Mus musculus: one gene and its partner. The protein of the gene in region 2 purifies or fractionates together with the protein of the main gene of each other region. This does not show direct contact. Links are inferred from orthologs where the notes say so. Each region holds a gene or a part of one and is shown on either strand. Other genes may lie near its edges.

The links.
Region 1: the proteins of Ptpn12 (region 2) and Pstpip2 purify together in Homo sapiens (affinity purification with mass spectrometry; 4 studies listed by BioGRID and IntAct, counting the BioPlex papers as one, with this or other methods). This does not show direct contact. The link is inferred for Mus musculus from reciprocal best matches to the Homo sapiens genes PTPN12 and PSTPIP2.

Annotation. Positions count from the first base shown.
Region 1 is NC_000084.6:77,792,557-77,797,700, forward strand, and holds the start of Pstpip2 (proline-serine-threonine phosphatase-interacting protein 2), read left to right. Parts: upstream 1-1,993; 5' UTR 1,994-2,161; coding exon 2,162-2,194; exon of another isoform or gene 2,195-2,391; intron 2,392-2,843; exon of another isoform or gene 2,844-2,980; intron 2,981-3,305; exon of another isoform or gene 3,306-3,834; intron 3,835-5,144. UniProt on the Homo sapiens protein: Binds to F-actin. May be involved in regulation of the actin cytoskeleton.
Region 2 is NC_000071.6:21,052,851-21,057,850, reverse strand, and holds the start of Ptpn12 (tyrosine-protein phosphatase non-receptor type 12), read left to right. Parts: upstream 1-1,939; 5' UTR 1,940-2,103; coding exon 2,104-2,202; intron 2,203-5,000. UniProt on the Homo sapiens protein: Dephosphorylates a range of proteins, and thereby regulates cellular signaling cascades. Dephosphorylates cellular tyrosine kinases, such as ERBB2 and PTK2B/PYK2, and thereby regulates signaling via ERBB2 and PTK2B/PYK2.

The sequences.
Region 1 (5,144 bases), on a different chromosome or scaffold from region 2:
TAAGATATTGTCCAGGGTTGGAGAGATGGCTCAGCGGTTAAGAGCACTGACTGTTCTTCCAGATGTCCTGAGTTCAATTCTCAGCAACCACATGGTGGCTCACAACCATCTGTAATGGGATCTGATGCCCTCATCTGGTGTGTCTGAAGATAGCTACAGTGTACTCATATACATAAAATACACAAATAATTTAAAAATGCATTAAGATATTTGTCACAGACTTCCTCATGACTGTGGTGGCACATGCCCATAGTTCCAGCAACTTTGGAGACTGAGGCAGGAGAGTGGCTAATTCAAGATCTGTCTGGGCTACAGAGTGAGTTCAAGGCTGTCATGGGTAACTTAGTAAGGTCCTGTCTTAAATATAAGCAAGCAAGCAAGCAACAAAAACTTTCCACAAACAACACTGGGACAGGGGACCTGGATTAAATGTCCAGTTGAAGAGAGGAGAAGAGAGGAGAGGAGAGGAGAGGAGAGGAGAGGAGAGGAGAGGAGAGGAGAGGGGAGGGGAGGGGAGGGGAGGGGAGGGGAGATGAGGGAATGGGAAGGGAGAGAGAGAAAATGAAAAGACTGTGTCTTCAGGGCTCTGGCTTCCTGTAGCCCTCAGTGTCACTCGTACTCGTAGTCCACCCACATCTGCAGATGTAGCCAGGCTTCTCTGCCTTGAGTCTAACCTCACTGGTTTTTTTTTTTTTTTTTTTTAATTATATATATTTTACGTGTATGGGTGCTTTGCAGGCTTGTATGTCTGTGCACCACCTGCATGGCCTTGTTAGGAAAAACATACTAAGTGGGTGTCAGATTCCTTGGCTCTGGAGTTAGGGATTGCTGTTAGCTGCCATGCTGGGAATTGAACCCAAGTCCTCTGGAAAATCAGCCAGTGGCCCTAACCTCAGTGAAGAACCGGGTTGGTGAATGCATGTCCTTGGAGAGTAACAGGGCTGGGTGCTCTCGCGAATCCCTGTCGTTACAGATGATATAGGGCTCGGGAGTAGAGTTACTGAGCAGAAATCTTGTGAGCTCTTCTACTCATTCCACGATTGTCACGTGCTGTGCCGGGATCTAACTAGAATCTGCTGCACAGGTGAATGCTTGCTTTGGCATAACGGAGAACTAGCTCGATGCCAGTCTTGGCAACTTAACTTTCATTTTCTTCCCTATGAACACTTCTTACCCAGAAAGACACTGGCCCTGTTAGGAAGGACAGACTTCTAGCTTTGGTCTCTCCATCCCCTACATAACTGTGAATCTGAGCAATCTTTCAGCTATCTTGAGTTTCCGGCTGGACACTGGGCACATAGAACAAGTACTTTGTCTATTTCCAAACAAGAAGGAGTTTGATGCGCCCTGGAGTCCTATTTGGTTTGTCTGCTTATTAGGAAAGACCTCACACTGTAGCCCAGGCTGGGCTTAAACTCAGTCTTCTGTCTCAGCTTCCTCAGTACTGGGATTACAGGTGTGAGTCTCCGGTTTTCTCTCTGAAAAGAGTTGAAGCTCACAAGAGAGGGAGCAGAAAGCAGCCTGGCTTCTACTGCTAGGTGAGACAGGTGGTGAAGAAACCTTAACTGAGTTCAGATTAAGATATGCAAAGTTAAAAGGAAACATGGATAACGCATTTGAATTGGCATTTTAGACTAAAGCCTGCAATCCCCTCCGGGGCGGTGTGTGCACTCCATTCCTTGTAGCGATAGCAGCATAGGCGAAGGCATCTCCTAGGGTTTCTACTGATTCACAGTCTGAATTTCTAGGTCGGGAGGGCTTGATGGGAAGAGTCCAGTGGGCAGCCGAAGGGAGAAGGACCGGTTCTCTCAGTCGTTCAGACGTCCGGCAGGCTGTGGTTTGGACTGGCCACCGCCCTCCGCAGAGCTGCTGGACCGGCCGCGCCCTAGGGTCAGGGCGGGTGGCCCTCTGCAGGTGCGCGAAGCGGGCAAGCGGGCGGGCAGGCAGGCGGGGCGCGGGGCGGCGCAATCGGGCGTGGTTTAGGACCCGGGGCGGCTTCCCGGGGTGACAGTGGAACTCCAAAGTTGCGCTGGACCTTGGCCCTGACAGTCTGAGCTCTCGGCGCGATCCGGCCGTCCTCCCGCTGTCCTCCCGCTGTCCGCCGTCCTCAGCCGCCTTCCGTCCTCCGCTCCCAGCCCTGCGCTCACAACCCAGCGCCGGCATGACGGGCTCGCTGTTCAAGGGGAACTTCTGGGTAAGTCAGCGCGGCGCGGGGCGTCCCGGAGCGCACGCCGGAGCGAGCCCTGGGGCTGCCCCTCTCTGTCCCGAGAGTCCGCTCCCCGGAGCGCGCGCTCCCCGAAACACCTGGGCCCTGACGTCACCCGGCGTTCTCACGCTTGAAAACCGAAGCCCAAAAGGAGGCGCATTCCAGCCCGCGGGTGCCCCGAAGCCCTGGGAGAAACGGGATGGGGCGTGTGAGCAGTCGCTCTGGGGTTCTCGGCCCGAGCTTCACCCTGCCTGGCAGCCCCGCTTTCTGATTTCCCTCGCAGCCCACAGAGAACCCCAGGGAGGCCAGCGCGCGCGTGAGACCCGAGAACTGGTGCTGTCATAGCGGTGCGGGTCCTAGGTGGCAGGTCTTCTCTCACCTTTTACTTAGACATCCTTTTCGCACGCATTCCCATTACCCTACGACTACCCACCCTCCAAGGGACCATTTCCGCCTGAATTCGGAGGTAACACCTTCCTTTAAGACAGGGCAAGGAGCTGTCCACCTGAGAGTTGACCCACAGCGATAGAGGGGCTCAGCCTTTTTCTAGGACTCTGCTTGTTTCCCGGTTTAGCTTCAGAGCTGCCCACCACACCAATCTCCTGCCGTGAACCCAGTGGCAGTTAGAGCCTATCACCTCCCATTCGCTTGAGGTTTTGAGATCCTTCTGAGTCACTGACCATAAGGCGAAGGGCCGGGGTAGCATTACAGCAGGGTTAGTAACCTTACACTTGGTCCTCCTCGGAGACCTGGGAAATCTTGACACTTTTTACACTGTGGGGAAAAAAAAGGACAGACCTTTATGCAGTTCATAGTAGAGTGATTATTTTTTTGGGCTAACGATGGAGGTACAGAGACTTCAGATGATAGATAGTATGTGCGCACCATCCGGGGCGTGCCCGTTCTGGAACAGGCTCAATCAAAAGTGTCAAGGAAAAGACTGATGTGCCCTTCGGCTCTGGACATCTTAGCCTGAGTTTAGTTAAGAGCCCAGGACCCGTCTCCATCAGTCTCAGCACTCAGCAATAGGGGCTAGGCTTTCTTTCCTTCCCTCCAACTCTCCTTAAAAACCCCAGAGCCAGAAGTGTTGGTTACTCACACCTGAAATCCCAGCGTTGGCGAAGCTGAGCCATTGGCAGCCCCAGCTGTCCCACCTACTCTCTGGCAGGAGTGGTCAAGAGGAGGGGCAGAGTGGAGTTGAGTTGAGAGTCCTGTGGTAAAGGTCTTAGGAGCACCGGACCGCGGCCGCTGCTGCTGGTGTTGAGTTTTTGCTCTACTTTTCAAAAGTTACCTGAGATCCCGGAAACTGCAAGCGCCCTGTCCAGCTCCACAGTTCCAGCAGTTGTTCGATTCAAATAACGAGAAGGACCGCATTGTTTATTGTGCAGATTATTAGGTTCTTTAACTGCCTTCCCCACATTACTCCACCATGCCTCCCAGTCGCCCTCGGAGGGAACTGACTCACCATGATATTTTACCGATGGGGAAACTGGCAGGGAGTGAAGCAACATTCTCAAAGCCCTGGAGCTGACGAATCGTGGCCCAGAGCTCTGCATGAACTCAAGGCTCACCCAAGTGTCTCCAAGAGGGTGGCATGGAGCGAGCACACCCCAGTGAACGTCCCAATTGCTCTTTCCCAGTGCCTGCAGTGGGCGTGGGGCGTGTTGGGCCATCCTGTGGCTGTTTGCTGGAGTCTCCTTCCTGCTTCAGCTGGACCAGGAGGTCCTGAAGGGCAGACACGATTTTCCCACCAGCTGGGTCCTTAGCACCAGCTATGGCACGCGGATTGTGGATCCCTAGGTCCAGGTGGATAAGACAGGGGCAGGAGTGAAGATGCAGGACCTGGGAGAAAAGGGGCAGAGGGAGCTAGCTGTTGGAGAAGAACGGCTGCTCACCTTTAAGTAGCCATGCTCTCAGGGAGTAGGAGTCTTTTCACTGAGTTGATGCTGGTGACAGTGACAGGGAGGGATGAGAACATTGTGACTGGATGAAGAAAAAAAAATGTTGAAAGCATCAGCAGGCACTGGTTTCCCAGGTTTAATAAACTCGTAGGAAATACTTTCTGTATGGGAAGTGCTCTGGTAGGCCTGGCTTTTGCTGGGGTTAACCCTGTTGCAATCTTCCCTAGAATCCGAACATCTCCTGAGGAAGGGGAATCGAAAGGGGAGATTTTGACCTTAGGTGCTTGACCTTAAGAATACAGAAGAGGGCTGGCTGAGGCAGCAGAGTCTGAGGCAGGAGGATTAAGCGTTCAAGCCAGGTTGGGATATATAGCTGGACTCTGTCTCAAAACCTAAAACAAAGACTGTACTGGGTTTCGGGTGGGGTCTGGGGATGGGGAAGAGTTAGCAGGTGTTATGGAAACTGGACCAGGGAAGCCTATTCTGGGGTGGAGACCATGGAGTGGGAAAAGATGCAGATAGAGAAACTACAGAGATAAGAGCCAGTCCCAGGCCAGGGAAGTCAACGGAGGGTCACCAGCAGAAGGAAGGAGAGGGGCCTCAAGCTGGCTTCAGAAGGGGAACTGGAGATGAGTGGGCGTGTCCTGAAATAGGAAGTCAGCAGGAGGAAATGCCAAGTGGAGGCAGGAGGAGGGAGAAGTGACTGTCAACACTGTTTAGTCAGGTGCTGCACCTGCAGAGGCAGGTTAAGTACAAAGCTCCCCTCTGCCCCAGGCCTCACCCCAAGCTCCAGGCTAGGCTGATGGGTATGAGGACTTCCTGCCAGAGGAGGGTCCCCCCCCCCCCCCGCAACCCCCAGGGGAAAGCAAAGGGTGTCAGCTAGTAGAGTTTGGAAGCATTCTGATATCTTCACCATTGCAAACATATCGCCGAGTACTTTAATGTCAGCTGGGCAACAGCTTCCGGCTGGTGGGGATGGCTCTGTTCCATTGGAAAGGGTGTCCTGGGGAGACTGAATGGAACAGCATGAAGCACAA
Region 2 (5,000 bases):
AGTTCAATTCCCAGCAACCACATGGTGGCTCACAATCATCTGTAATAGAATCTGATGCCATCTTCTGGTGTGTCTGAAGACAGAGACAGTGTACTCATATATATATAAAATCTTTTTTTTAAATATATGTATTTATTTTATGTACTCATATACATAAATCTTTTTTAAAATATTTATTTTATGTACTCATATACATAAAATAGATCATATGGAAAAAATATGCCCTACAAAACACTAGGGCAAATGAGACCCAGCCTGTTACCCATGAGACTGCCAATAGTTGGTATAAAGCACACACGTATACTGTTTGCTAATCACTAACTGGTTTTTACATTCTTGGCTATATCAAAAGTGTAGGTGATCACTGTGGCCCATGTCTATGCTCCCAGCACTTGTGAGGCTGAGGCAGGAAGACAGCCATGCCAGCCTGGGTTACTGAGTGAGACCCTGGCTGAGAGAACCCAAAATATAGAGACATAAATAAAAGTTAAAGCATTTCTGCCATTTACCTATTTGTCCCCATCGAGCCTGAATCTTTTGCTTACATTCAGTGAAATTTAGCCTGTGTAGTGGGTTAAATTACTACAGACACTCCTTTCAAAAGTTTATTTTAGTATGGAAAGCATCTCTTGAAATGCTTTGAGAGAAGTGAGTTGGTACATATCAGATGCATTATTTCCTGTATTTTATTTTAAAGTGTAACTGTATATTGCTACTCACATGTGTTGTCTTCGATTTTCTTTTTAATTAAATTTCACAGTGCGGCCAAATATCGGTTTAGGAAATGTTTCCTGCATTGATATTTCCTATCTTAAGCATATTTCCTGGCAGCCTGTTCTGTGAAAACATGTTTTTTGTTTGTGGGTGTAGGTGACCAAAGTCAGTCCATGGATCAAATCCCTCAGTTGTGCAACTGTGTACTACTACAAACTCTCGTCCTTTCGAGAAAAAGTAAAAGTTAGAGTCAAAGTAAAAGAACCTGCGTTTTAGTTCTGACTCCACATGAACATGTTGGGGGGGTGAACTTTGGACAAATCATTTCTATTTATGAAAGGACAGATTGCATCAGCACGCTCTCTGTCTGCTAAGAGTCACAAATTCTATTCTACGAAAGAATGTCACCCATTCAACTCTGAAACCGTGAGAATTTAAAGATAGGAAGCAATATTGTCTTCCTCTTGGCAAAAAAAGGTGCAATGAGAAAGATGCATTACGAATTAAGAGCTTTCCCTCACTGGGATTAGAAAGATTGCGAAGAGTAAACCCTTTCACTCTGGAAACTATTGGCTTCTCCTAGCCAAAGTGCCAAAGCCTTGGGAGACCCTCACCAAGGCATTCGTAAAGCGAAGGTGAAGGCTCTACTACAGTTCCCAGCATACCTCTGTCCCACCCTGCTCCGGGCACTCCTGCAGGCGGGTCTTGTAGTCCCAGCCCGCGGCCGGCAGTAGCGCTGAAGCACTTTTGGAATCAGCTTTCCCTCCCCGCCAAACCCGGAGGCCGCAAGCCCCATCTGAAGTTTACTGTCTGACCCACTGGGCTTGGCCGGGCTTCCAGACGTAGGACGTCCACCAGAAGCCAGCCTCACCGCAGCGAGCGGCGAGCGCCCTAGGAGAGGGCCACGCCCCGGAAGCGGCTTCCAGCCACTCAGAGCGGGCGGGGGCGGGCCCGGGCGGGCGTGCGGGGGCGGCTGGGTCTTCGCTCTGGGGCGGGGCCGCCGTACGAGCCCGCGCGTCTGGGTGGCGGCGGGGGCGCGCCCGTGGGGAGAGGCGGCTGCGGCTGCTGGTGGGGGGTGGGGGGGGAGGCAGAACCGGGAAGGGGGCAGGGCGAACTGAGAGCCGTGTTCCTGAGGCGGCGGCGTCTCGGACTGAGGAGGGCGGGGAAGGAGGATGGGGCAGGCTGGGGGTTGGGGCCGGCGCTAGCCCGCGGCTCGCCTCGTAGTAGGGGAAAGCGACGCTGCTCTTTAAGTTGCGCGGGGAGCCCGGCCGGTGCCGCCGCAGCCGCAGCCGCCTGGCGCGGCGGGGAGGGAGGGCGGGCCGGAGCGAGCTGGGGAAGACGGAGCGGGCGCTGCGGCGCGCGGGCGGGCGGCGGGGGGGACGCGGGAGGATGGAGCAAGTGGAGATCCTGAGGAGGTTCATCCAGAGGGTCCAGGCCATGAAGAGTCCGGATCACAATGGGGAGGACAACTTCGCCCGGGACTTCATGGTGAGTGTCCGTTCTCGCCGGCGCCTCGTGTCGCCAGCCGCCGAGCTCCCCTCGCCTCTCCCGGTCGGTCGGGGCTGCCAGCGCTTTGTGTGCGGTGCGAGGACAGGCGCGGGGCGCGCGCCCAGCCGCGAGCGCCGTCGGCGAGCTTGCGGGAGGCGAGGTCACCCCCGCCCCTCAGCCTCTCTTTTCCGCGGCCGCTACCTGCGCTCCCCGGCCCAGCCCGCTCCGGCCCCGCCGCCCGCGACTACCTATTGTCTCCCCGGCCGGGCGGCGGCGGCTGGAGTGCGGGCTCGCCTTCCCACGCCTGCCTTCCCCGCCTGCCCCTCCGGGGAGGGTCGAGGCGAGCTGTCTGGCTGCGGCCAGCGGAGCGGCTCGAGGCTGCCGGAGAGCGAGGGTGTAGAGCATTAACTCGCTGGGTCCCTGTACGGATGCCGGCCTTGGTCCGAGTGGACGGCAGGACGACTCCGTGTCTGGGTTCACAGTTATTAGCTCAGCGCTTGCCAGAGGCTTGACCATAAGGAATCTCATGGTTTACCTGATCTCCATTTATCTGGTCAGGTTTCTTTTCGTCCTGAGACCCAGGTTTGAGGTGGCTGTGAGGCCAGTGTGACTTTAGATCGAAAAGGGAGGGGGATATCAGTGTGGATGGGGGTTATCCTGAAGGAAGCTCACTCCGGACTTGAGGGGATATTGCCGAAGCCGGAGGGGATGTGACTATCACTTCCTATCCGGGGTGGGGGTGGGGAAGCTGGGAACAATAGTCATGGTAGGGTGGAGGCGACTATATGGGCTGAAGCCCTGGGAGATAACCTTCCCGTCCCCCCTTTTCCGCCACCCCCCTTTCCGCCCTCTGCTTGTGTAGGCAGGCTTGAGTGAGTGGAGGTGGGGGTTAAAAGTCTAGTATGTGAAATTTCTCTAGGTGCATAATTGGAGAGAGGGTATCAATTCCGAAGGCGTGGGACCAGAAGCTGACTTCCTACATTACCCCCTCCTCGCTCCTTTTATTTTTCTGTTGGACAATGTTCCCTCTAGGGTTGTTTCCCGGCTTTGGAGGCGGTGGTTGCGGCTGCTGCTCCTACGGATGTTGCGCAAGACTGGGGCGTTGTAAACCCTGGAGGTCTGGGGAATGGAAAAGGAAATGGGACTTTGGGAAGTCCTTCGCTCTTTAGCGGGGGTTGGGAATAGCAAATGAACTAGGGAAAATTTTGCTCTGGACAAGGTGCACTTCTAAGAATAATCAGTTCATCTGAAATTTGGTTATGAAAAGCCATATGCAGTTGAGGTCTATAAAAATGAGTGGCTACGAAACATTTGCTAGTTTTTATTTAAAGTGCAAATGAAGTGATTTTTAGTACTGAAGTGGGTGTTCACATTTTAAAGAGATTTCTGTCTAGTAAAACTTTAGTGTTAAAATTGTTAATGGCTTGAAAAGTAGACTGTTAGCCTTGCACAGTATTAGTAGTATTGTGGGGTTTTGTGACTTCCACCTTGCAGTTTTATAAAAATAGAAAGTAGGAACAAGATACAGTGAGGACTGAAAATGTAGATCAAAGTCCAGTTATTCCTTATTTTAAACATTTTCTGATATTTAGATGATGTTTTGGAAAAAGTACTTTTCTTCTTACCATCGAATTTTGATGGTTAGTATCTGTTGAATGATATCATTTGCAAACATTGGAAAGAGCCCTCCTTTTACTACTCTATAGTAAATGTAGAAGAAAACAGTTCATTGAGGGTGTGTAGAACTAGTGGCTTGTCATAGAAGGGGCCTTGTGGCCCTGGCTGTTGGTCGAATGCTTGCTATCTTGCTGTCCTGGACATACTCTGTCAAGGATCATTGTTAGTGCAGGCCATCCGGACAGGTGCCCAGTCCCTGCACTTTTGGACAGGGGATCTAGTCTTGGGGTTCATGCTTTGGGGATGACTCAGGGATTCCTATTGGAGATGTCATGTCCAAGGACCAAATGTGTTCCCATTCTTCCATAATACCAAAGTATAGCTAGGTAGTTCTACATGAGAGATTTGATGACTAAGGCTATTATTCTTTTATAGGGCTTGCTTTTTTAATTTCCTAACTTGATAAGCAGTAGCTATAATTATGATTGTTGGCAGTTGCCTCTGTTTTTTTCCCTTGACTAGAAGGCTGGAAAGAACTGTCCTCTGTCATGGAAAGAGAATCAAAGATGATCACATAAATTCTAACTTTTGTTATTAAATTCTGAAGTGGATTTTAAAATCCATTTTAAAAAAGAGATGGTGACATTTTTGGAAAGTATGTCGACTGAAATCACTGTTGAAATGGTGTCACATGAAGCTGCCAGTCCACTGATGCCTGAACTATTTCATCATGTAAATAATTTCCATGCCTCCCTTTTATAATAAACGAATGATGCCTAAACTGACAGCCATTGTCTCTGACCTTTAGTTTCACTGAACTGTTACAAATATTTCCAAATAAAATGTTGTAAATGAAAAAAAAGAAAGAAATTAAAATCTTATGAAAATTCAGAATCAATAAAGATGATTAAGTGGATCTCCAAAAAGAAACACAGTCAACATCAAAATAAAATTAAAAGTCAAAAAAAAAAATCCATTTTAAAACCTTAACATTGTAGAACTGAGTCTTAAAAGGTAATATCACTATTATAACTATTTCATTATAAAGTAATAGTTTCAAAATTGCAAATTATAGAATATAATTATTAACAGTAATGATATAATTATAATGGTAATACTTTATATTTGGGTGATTGGATTGGGCATCCATACTGTGGCCCTATTTTAAGGATGGAGCTACT